Linked DNA regions of Drosophila melanogaster. The protein of the gene in region 2 interacts with the protein of the main gene of each other region in a pairwise test. Each region holds a gene or a part of one and is shown on either strand. Other genes may lie near its edges.

Region 1 (6,633 bases), on a different chromosome or scaffold from region 2:
ACTACTAACTATATAAACATACTTAAATGTATTTTGTTGAAATACTTTTAAACATCTCCAACACCCAAAGACCTGCCCCGTAACCCTACATACCTAGTTCAGATAGCTTCGATTTGTATACACACACACTCTAAGAATCTCAAAACAACCCATGAGAATGCCTCGAAAGTTTGTAAATTGATATGCTGATACCTTCGAACTACAAACACACCATGACATGGATATTTTAAATGAATACTATGTAATATCATTATTTTACGATTTAAACGCAATGTGATTATTTAATTATATATGATTTATAATTAAATGGCCCGCCTTATGTTTTATTCGTTATCGAAATTGCTTGAATTGGTTGAACCGTTTTCAATTATAAAATACTTAATGTACACACCTATGTATGTGAAATCAAACGACAATACATTCTGAATACTAAATGTGAAAGATCATGAAGAGATAAAGTGAAACCTAGTTACATGTAACGTAAGCATCAAATTCATATTAATAAATATAACAAAGAATTAAAAAGAATTATTTGGGTTCCGTTTTCAACATTTCGTTTAACCCAAAATGCTATCCGCATCGATTGGGGCAGTTCCTTTACCCGAAATAAGATGAGTTCTTAGAGATTAGAAACCCGTAGAATTTAAACTTCAAAACTTGATGGTCTGAAGAGAACATGCAAAGGTTTAGTTTCATTTGATTCAAATTTGTAATCAAACTACAAACAATTCTGTTATTAAAAAATACATGTATTTCTTTCCGTGTTTTCTTAGTTCAATTAAATACATTGTCCAATGTGACAAAACAAATTAATCTTTTACATATTGAAGTTGTCATAAGCATTCATAAACCGGCTATCACCACAAGTTAGCGGAAAATTCAACCCTTCATTTAACCCAAGCGTCTGAAAAATACCTTGGCTTACTCTTTATGAACCTTATAAATATATATAATATACAATAGAAATGTATAGGGGTTTAACTCTTAAAGGCTTATAAAAAATCCACGAAACGCATTCGGGTTTCATTCCGTCCGATCAGGAAAAAAAAAGGGTTTAATCCGCTAAAGTCATAATAACCATTTGCTTGGTCACGGGTTTGTCGACCGCCAATTTGCATTCGAATAATTCACATTAAAACGGAAGTACGGACTTCCCGAAGTCAATCAAGAGTTTGGAAAGAATTTACATGTTGGCGGAACTATTGCGTAAGGCAAATATTTTACTTAAACTAGTTAGTTATATCCGTTAGAATAAGGATTATTTTATAGGTGTAATAAATCTAGTCAAATTTTATTGAATTGACTCCTACGTCAATTTGGCCACCTCGGTAGCTGCCGCGCTTCTTCTTGGTCTTCTCGTGTTTGAAGGACTTGCCGCGCGTGTGCTTCAGATCTTTGTTGGCTCGCTCGCCCCAGGATCCGGCAGCGTTTTTCTATCGTGGTGAGCAAATAATAAAATTGGGTTAATCCGATAATATAACTGCATCTAGTGTGTGTGTGTGTGCTTGCGGGTGGGTGGCGCTAACTAACTATTTCTAATTGTCGAAGGTGATCTTCTTGTTTTGCTTTGGCGCCGACGAGTCGAAGGATTTGTTGCCGAATCCGCCTCCACGTCCGCCTCCACCGCGGCCCCCGCGTCCTCCAAAGCCGCCGCCTCCGCGTCCGCCGCCACCACGTCCTCCGAAGCCACCACCGCCGCCACGGCCGCCACCGCCACGACCACCGAAGCCTCCGCCGCCTCCACGACCGCCACCACCACGTCCTCCGCGCTGGTTGTTATCAAAGCCTCCAAAGCTCTTGCGATCGCCAATCTTCTTGAAGCCGCCTCCATCACCGCCGCCCTCGCCGTTGAACTTGTTGGTCTCCCAAGTGCTGCGATCCGGTCGTCCGGAGAAGCCTGAGCCTCCTCGGCCGCCCCGTCCGTTGTTGTGCTTCTTAAAGTCGTTTTCCTGAAATGGTAGAAACGCCGAAAGGGGCAAACCACAAATTAGCAACGATTTGATTTGATATATAAGTTCAAAATGTATTGGGAAAGTGCCACAAGTGGTTTGAGATTCTTCGAGGAGCAACTTGCTAATTTGTGTGTCTGCCCCTTTCAGCCTCGTAGAAAGATCCCCCTCGCCTAATCCTCAACAGCCGTCGCAAACACACACACCCACGCGACTCAAATCCATTGCGGCACTTACCTTCGCCTCGAAGGACATGTCCTGGACTCGGGAGTCCACCACCACGTCCTCGGTGCGTACCCTTCGGAAGGGCGACCGTCGCCCACTTCCCCCTCCGCTATTGTTCATATTATGGTTTCGGCTGAAGGTGTTGTTAGGTGTGGAGGTGAAGTCATTCTTCTGCGAATGGCAATGAAGTTATGTAAAACTGTCTGCACAGGAATCGGACAAGGAGCCAAAATTATGTGCTGTTTAAAGTTCGGCTCAAATTTCAATAGGGCTTTAAAAAGCTACTTTTAAGGGAATCCTTTAACTCAGGAATTATTTTTATCCGACATTCAAAATTGATGTCTGAAGGAAAACATGCATAAGCGGACTGCGGATAATTTTAGATGTACATAGATAAGTTACACCGCCTTACCTGTTGCTCTCCCGATTTGACGAAGTTGTTGTACTTCTTGTTGGGAGTGGCCTCGTCCTGGTCGCCACCACTAAACTTGCGCTTCTGAGCGGTCTTCTCATTGCCATTGGTAGCTGAGTTGGGCTTGACCTCGCCGGACTCTTCACCAGAGTCACTCTCGTCGCTGCTGCTGTCAGCCTTCTTCGCAGGAGCAGCAGTCTTCTTGACAGCTGGCTTCACTGCCGGCGTTTCTTCATCGCTGGAATCGTCACTGTCTGAGGAGGCAGCCTTTGCAGACTTGGCCAGAGCCTTGGGAGCAGCCTTTGCTGGCTTTTCGTCTTCTGAGCTATCGCTATCTTCCGAAGAAGCAGCCTTTGCAACGGCCTTCGCGGCTGGTTTCTTGGGAGCTTCCTCCTCATCGGAGTCGCTGTCTTCGCTTGAAGACTTGGCCTTTTTGGCCGGTGTCGCCTTTGCTGGGGCGGCAGCCTTCTTGGGCGCCTCTTCTTCCGAGGAGCTGTCATCGCTGGAAGCTGCCTTCTTGGCAGGAGTTGCCTTAGCTGGCGTGGCCTTTGCTGGAGCTGCCTTCTTGGGCGCCTCTTCTTCCGAGGAGCTGTCATCGCTGGAAGCTGCCTTCTTGGCAGGAGGTGCCCTAGCTGGCGTGGCATTTGCTGGAGCTGCCTTCTTGGGCGCCTCTTCCTCCGAGGAGCTGTCATCGCTGGAAGCTGCCTTCTTGGCAGGAATTGCCTTAGCTGGCGTAGCCTTTGCTGGAGCTACCTTCTTAGGAGCATCGTCTTCCGAAGAACTATCCTCAGTGGAACTGTCGGCCTTTTTGGTGGGAGCAGCCTTAGAAATGGGCTTTGCGAGAGTTGCTGCCTTTTTGGGTGCCTCGTCTTCAGAGGAACTATCATCACTAGAGGAAGCCCCCTTCTTAGCAGGAGCCAACTTGGCAGCAGATTTAGCAGCGGGTTTGACCTCCTCCTCTGAGCTGCTGTCTTCGGAACTAGAAGCGGCTGCCTTAGGAGCTGGCTTTGCGGCAGGCTGGACGGCAGGCTTCTTGGCGGCTGGCTCGTCATCGGAGTCGCTTTCCTCGCTGGAGGATGCTGCTTTCTTTGCCGGTGCAGCCTTGGCTACAGGCTTGGCAGCTGGCTTAGTCTCCTCATCGGAGCTGCTTTCTTCGCTGCTGGAGTCGGCCTTCTTGGCGGGAGCAACCTTAGTCGTTGTGGCCTTGACGGCGGGCTTTGCCGGTTCTTCCTCGGAACTGCTATCCTCGCTGCTGGACTCAACCTTCTTCGCGGGAGCCGCCTTGGCCGGAGGTGCCTTCACTGGAGCAGCTTTTTTGGGTGCTTCTTCCTCCGAGGAACTGTCCTCGCTGGAGGATTTTGCCTTCTTGCCGACAGCCTTGGCCGGCGTGGCCTTTGCTGCTGGCTTCTTCTCCTCCTCTGAATCGCTGTCCTCGCTGGTTGAAGAAGCTGCCTTTTTGACAGCCTTGCCGTTTGTTAGTGCAGGAGCTGTCGCTGGCTTCTTAGGCGCCGCATCAGACTCAGAGTCTGAGTCGCTGTCTTCGCTGGAGTCTCCGGCTGTCGCCTTGATTGCTGGGATCTTTTTGGGGCTTTTGGTCTGGTAGAACTGAAGGATTTCACTCAACTTTGGGCTGCTTTTGGCGACACTGGCCTGCAAGTTAGAAAAAGGCAGAAATTCTTGGTTATCTGGACGAAGCACGTGGCACTTGCAGCAAGTGGCAGGTGGACAGCTCGATGAGCCATCGGCGGACAGCAAGGCCCTCGGATTCTAGATCAGGAGGACGCAGATACCACATGTTTCGGGTGCATCCAAACCGCACATATTGCACTTGCCGCTCTGCACTGAAACTTACCGCCTTCGTCTTCTGCTGGAAAACCTTGGCTAGGTTCTTGTCCTTGGACTGCAAGTACTCCAGGACGATTGCATCGGCTATCTTTAGCAGGTCTGTCATGATTAATTCAACTATTCGTCAATATTTTCCGTCCGCAAATAATTACTAGCCGCTTGTCCCACAAAAAAGAATGCGCACTCACACGTGTTTTCTACTTATCAGTGGTATGGCAGCACTACGCGGCTGCCAACGGTGTGGCCACCCCTGCACCCCGTTTCTCAACACTGTCAATGCAGCGGGTATTCTTCCCAAGAATAACTCGAAAATGCCAATCAATTGTAATCATTTATTTATGCCACACCGACAAAGATCTTGAAATTAGAAATAACGCTAGGCTACGTTAGACAAAACTAAAATTACAAATTTATTGTTATATATGTCTATGTATATATATATATGTATATATATATATGTATATGTATATATGTAGACATATATAACAATAAATTTGTAATTTTAGTTTTGTATATATATATATATATATATATATATATATATATACATAGACATATATAACAATAAATTTGTATTGTTAAATTTGTTATATATATATATGTCTATATGTCTATGTATATATATATAAATTACTAAACTGTATTATTAAATTGTATTCAAACAATTAGCGTATATATAACATAATGTAAGGAACCTACGTTTTTTGCGTGAGGTATTCAGACCATCCACGACTGGTCACATTGGGGGAGCACCAAAATGTATTTTTGTTTGTTATTCAATTGAGTTGACCTGCTTGAAACGATCCAGAATACAGAAACTATCTCTCGCTCCGGCTATTTTAACAGACTCTGTACCTAGATTGTGTCGCGAGGATCGCATCCCGGGCCATGGCTTCCGAGCCGAGATCCCTAATTCTGCAATTGGACGACGACTGTCTGGCCGAGATTTTCGATCGCTTGCAGGACCTGCCGTCGGAAGTGTCCTTCGCGAGGACTTGCCGGCGAGTGCAGTACATATGTCTGAGCAAGTGGCGCACCAGCCATGCCTACGAGCAACTGGATCTGGAGAAGTGGCGGGTACTGTTGCCCAATCATGAAGACCTGGTCTACTTCCTAACCCAAATGCGTCCGTACATCAGAGAAATGGGCGGCAGCAGCTGTCTGTGCTCCATTCTAAAAGATCTGGACGAAATGCACATTGCAGAGCTGCCCATGGTGACCAGCTTCTACTACGACCCAGACGGCGTCGATTGCTATCCCACGAACCGAAGCATCCGCAAGCTGGCCCGCCTGCTGCCGGGCTTGAAAAAGTTGCGCCTTACCACACCCATCGACGGGCGGTACCTATCCAACTTCCAGCACCTGCAGGAGCTGCACCTCTACGAGGACCAGCACAAGGCGTTTGAGCTGCAGCAGAAGTACCTGGACGAGGTGTGCCGGTAAGTAGTAACCTTCTGCTGCATAATATTTCGCAACTCATTTTCCGTTTGCGCCACAGCACGCTGCACGATCTTCGGGTCCTGGACATTAGGACGTACGATATGATCAGTAAACTTCAGCTGGGAAACTGCCTGCAGAGCTTTAAGAACCTCACTGATCTTAAGCTCAATCTGGCCACCTTGAAACCCATTCTACCCGCCGTTCTGGAGCTGCCCTCCCTCAGGAAACTGGTGGTGCTGCTGGACAACGAGTGGCATATCCCCCCGCTGGTCAGTCCGGATAGCTATGACCACAAGATCCGCGAGGTCAGCGAGTTCTACGAGATCATGGCTTTCAAGGCCAAGGACATCGTCGGCTTTGCCGTGGACGGGTACTATATGCCCCTTGAACCGGGCTGGGATGAGAAGCTGCCCATCTGGACGCATCGCAGGCTGAAGCGCCTGGCCATTTGCAGCTGGACTCATTCGGCAGACTACCTAAAGCGCTATACCTGTATGACAGAGCTGCAGCTGCTCTGCGTGCGCAACTGGAATGACCTAAGCGACGAAATCCTCTTAGAATTCGTGGAACTCTGTCCACGATTGGAACACCTCGACGTGTCCTACTGCCGAAATCTGACGCCAACATTTTTGCCACGGGCCTTGAGTATTCTTAAGCGGCGGGAGCCGTTCAAGCAGAAGACGGGAGTTGGACGTTCGCCACCTCTGAAGCTCTACTACGACCTAAGTGGCTTTGAGGACTTTGTGGATAGAGCGGTTACTA
Region 2 (3,636 bases):
CTGCACATCTCCCATGCCCTCATCCCCAATTCGCATGAGTTCGAGTTTGTGGTCACGCTGAGCCACGAGGTGTTGCGCTTTCACGCCGTCTCTTGGTAAAACTAAAAGCTCCCCGCACGCAACGCAATTAAGATTGCACCACTTACAGCTCACTTTCGCTTTTTTATTCGCAGGGAGATTATGCAAGAGTGGGTGGAAACGCTGCGCTCCAAGCTGCGCGAAATGAAGATTCTGTCGCCGCGCGAAAACCTCTACACGAAGCTACCTGAAGTGCGCGCACCGTTGCTGCCCACGCGGGATCCCACATCGCCACTGCCACCACCTCCTCCAGTTCCGGCGGCTCTGGTACCGGGCGTCGAGCGTGTGGTGGCACCCAGCCATCAGGCTCCGCCAGCACCACCTCCTGAGCCACCAACAAGTCCAGTGCCCACCACACCTGCACCTCCTGCCCCTGCTCCCGCTGCCATGTCCAACACTTTAACGCAGCACCTCCTCAACATGCTCTCCGATCCCATAAGCACCTACAGCGAGCAGATCAGTGAGTCGGTAGAGTCAGCCTCTGGTCAGGAAGATGTTGCTGTAGCTGAGGAACCTCCAGCGGAGCAACCGACCACTAGTGATGCCGATTTGAATCTCTCGGATGACGAATACCTGTCGCCCTTGCTGCGCAAGGCATGTATGCTTACCGAGAATGGAGCTCGCGTTGACGTCGTGGTGGTCACTGGACAGCGCGTTTCTGCCGGTATGAATATTTTTTATATAACCTAAATATATTTAATTTTTACTCTAACATTACAAAATATAACCTAAAATTGTAGATCAAGTCCTAAATTTGGAGCACATTCTGCAATGCGAACGACTGATTCCCAGGTGAGTGAATCCATCCTACAACATCTCGTTCATAAGCTCGTAGTTGTGCTGCAGGAACTTGAGTACTGCCTTCTTGGTGCTCGCTTTGCCCTTAAAGGTGGCCTTGAACAATTTTCGCAGGACGGCTAGATATCTCATGGCACTGAGGGTGAGCTCGTGGCTCTCGGCATCCAATTTCATGCCCAACACATTTTTGTATCTCTTGCTCACCTGGGCTTTCAGATTGTCAAAACTTTGGCTTGCCTCCTCCATCAGAGGAGCACGCTGCTGTCGCCGGTAGTGATCCATGTGGGCATGTAGCAAGGTTTTGAAGAGTTCGTTAAAGTGCTGCACCTGCTGGTGGTCTGATACGTCTTCGCAGAAAACACTGAACATGGTGTCAAAAAACATCGCCGGATCCTGTCCATTGCATAGTCTTTTTAGGGCGCTGATTGAGGAGCAGGCGAAATTTCGCTTCAGATATCGGTTCTCCTTGTCCAGCATGTAAATCTGATCATTTATCCTTTTAATGGCATGTTTGTCCGCCGCGCGTTTCACCTGCAACTTATCGATCAGACATTGAAGCTCCATCGACTCCTTGGTTAGTGCAGCGTTTTCTTTGACCAACCTACGATTGGCCTCCACTATATTCTCGCATGAACTAAAAGAAGACTGTTCCTCCTCATTCAAACTTTCATCAAATTTGCAGCATACAACATCTTTGCCGATTGCGGGATTCGGTTTTAGGCTCATTTGGTGAAGAGTGCGCAAATCCAACTGGAAACTGCCCGGCCACGTAAATGGATAACCCAACGATTTGTGATCATTGAGTTGTTTATGAAGGAGCAGTAGCATATAGTTTCTGGAAAAGCGTTCCTTCGGCGTTGACTGCTGGAAGATGTTGAGCCATCGGGTGCATGTGGGCACAATGTTATCTTTATCGGGCAGCATGTCCACCAGTTTCACCACACTGACAACCTCCTGCACAAATAGGTCATCTAGCTTCTCCTCTGTCAAAGAAAACGGTTTGGCCATGTCTCCAAGATTTGTTTATATCAAACTGGCTTGTGATTTAGAAATCAGCCTACTATGACGTCAGCATTCTTTATCAAATATTAAAATGTATTCCTGTTTTCTTTTAGACCGCAAACATCGCGATCCATGTCAGCTGGAGCGGCAGACAAATCAAAGCGACCGCAACGCAAGCCCCTCCAATCCCAATCTTCGAGCGCCGCTCCTACGAACAGTGCGGACTCTCAGGACAACATCACAATTATCCAAGTGTCGAATACCGCCAACAGTGGCCAGGAACATCCACCCGAACTGCCGCCCAAGAACACCACCACCGCTGAGGTGTTTCGATTCCCTGAGGTTAAGAGCAAGCCCCAGACTAATGCCAAGCAGCAGCCAATCCAGACCCATCACGAGTATAAAAGCAACGTACAAATCATTCCGTCCAACGCCAGTAGCAGTACCAGTACCATTCAAGTCCTTGGCAAACAGTCCAGTAGCAGCAATCCGTATACAACGCCCGTTAAGCAAAGCTCGTCCAATGGCTCCAGTTCACAGGTGTCGGGCACCACGAAAGTAAAGGTGTTGGGTGACGGAGACGCAACCACCAAGGTGGCTGTCTACGGCACCTGCTATCCAGCGGCCGGAGGAAGTGCACCCAGTTCTTCCGCAGCCTCTTCCTCTGTTAATCCTGCCAAGCCGCAGACGCCCAGATTAAGTAAAAAGATAATACTCAGTGCCAACACCTCGGGCATTACGAATATTAGCGTGAATACAGAACAGGGCAGTGACTCCATAATCAGTGGTAATATCCACTACGAGAAGGTCTTCCTTTCCTCCAGCATTCCGATCACCAGCAGAAGCAGTCCCACAAGAGTGGCAAACACGAATACCACACAGCCAGTGACTAATGGCAGTCCAGCTTTGCCACGTCGTCGGTTGGCTTCGCCGGCAACGGCGCAACCAGTGACCCCCAATGCAGCCGGCAGGGCGACGCCGCAGTTGACCCGAGGACTAACCGAACTGGTCATTAGTTCGCGGCCAAGTAGAAGGGATTTCCACTACCTAAAGCTGTTGAACACGCCACTGAAAACGAAGACATCGCACAAGTCAACCAGCGCCGCGAATAACAACATTGAACAATCCACGCCTTCCAGCTCCAATAGTACCCAAGTTACGCCAACGCAAAGGAATAACACCTCGATTGTAACCGGTGACAGCCAGGAGCAGCGGCGACGCAGTTCGTCCACATCCGATGCCCAGGCTCCACTTCAGCGGGTCCCTCAGCCCGCAACGCAGCGTAACGCTAACAATAACGAGTTTACGCCATCCCGAAACGGAGCCTTTCGTATGCAGCCACCGCCACAGGGAACACCTCCGTCAAGCACCAATCCCGCCCAGCAGTCGCCCAACAAGCGATTGACTTTGCGGGAGCAGCAAGTGATGCAGCTGCGTCGCGAGATTATGCATCCTGGAGGAGTGCGACTGAATCTAAGGCGCAAGGACTGCGTCGGTTCCATCGCTTGGGTAGAAGCCTTCGGTGGCGTTTGGTAAGTTAGAGAGAACTTCGTATCATCTCCACGGTGATTGTATGTAGACCGAATTATATTTGGAAATTGTATAAGCAATTGGTATGATTCACTAACTAGTTGTGTTTACAGGATTGCAGGCTGGAAGCAGAAGGAACACCCTGTGCTCTACAATGCCCTACACATCGGTGATCAGCTACTGTCCATAGCAGGTGTGAGCATTAGCAGTGCAGCTGAGGCCAACAAG

What was found.
Region 1: the proteins of CG14383 (region 2) and Nopp140 interact in a two-hybrid assay, tested with the Drosophila melanogaster proteins (one large-scale study listed by BioGRID).

The regions. Positions count from the first base shown.
Region 1 is NT_037436.4:21,830,783-21,837,415, reverse strand, and holds Nopp140 (Nopp140), read right to left. Parts: upstream 4,643-6,633; 5' UTR 4,538-4,642; coding exon 4,439-4,537; intron 4,237-4,438; coding exon 2,587-4,236; intron 2,346-2,586; coding exon 2,187-2,345; intron 1,950-2,186; coding exon 1,536-1,949; 3' UTR 1,434-1,535; coding exon of another isoform or gene 1,281-1,433; 3' UTR 731-1,280; downstream 1-730. Other genes in the region: CG7148 (uncharacterized protein), read left to right, coding at 5,320-5,870, 5,930-6,626.
Region 2 is NT_033777.3:12,986,615-12,990,250, forward strand, and holds CG14383 (uncharacterized protein), read right to left. Parts: upstream 1,898-3,636; 5' UTR 1,885-1,897; coding exon 886-1,884; 3' UTR 871-885; coding exon of another isoform or gene 819-870; 3' UTR 762-818; downstream 1-761. Other genes in the region: CG31342 (uncharacterized protein), read left to right, coding at 1-95, 174-742, 819-870, 1,992-3,410, 3,522-3,636.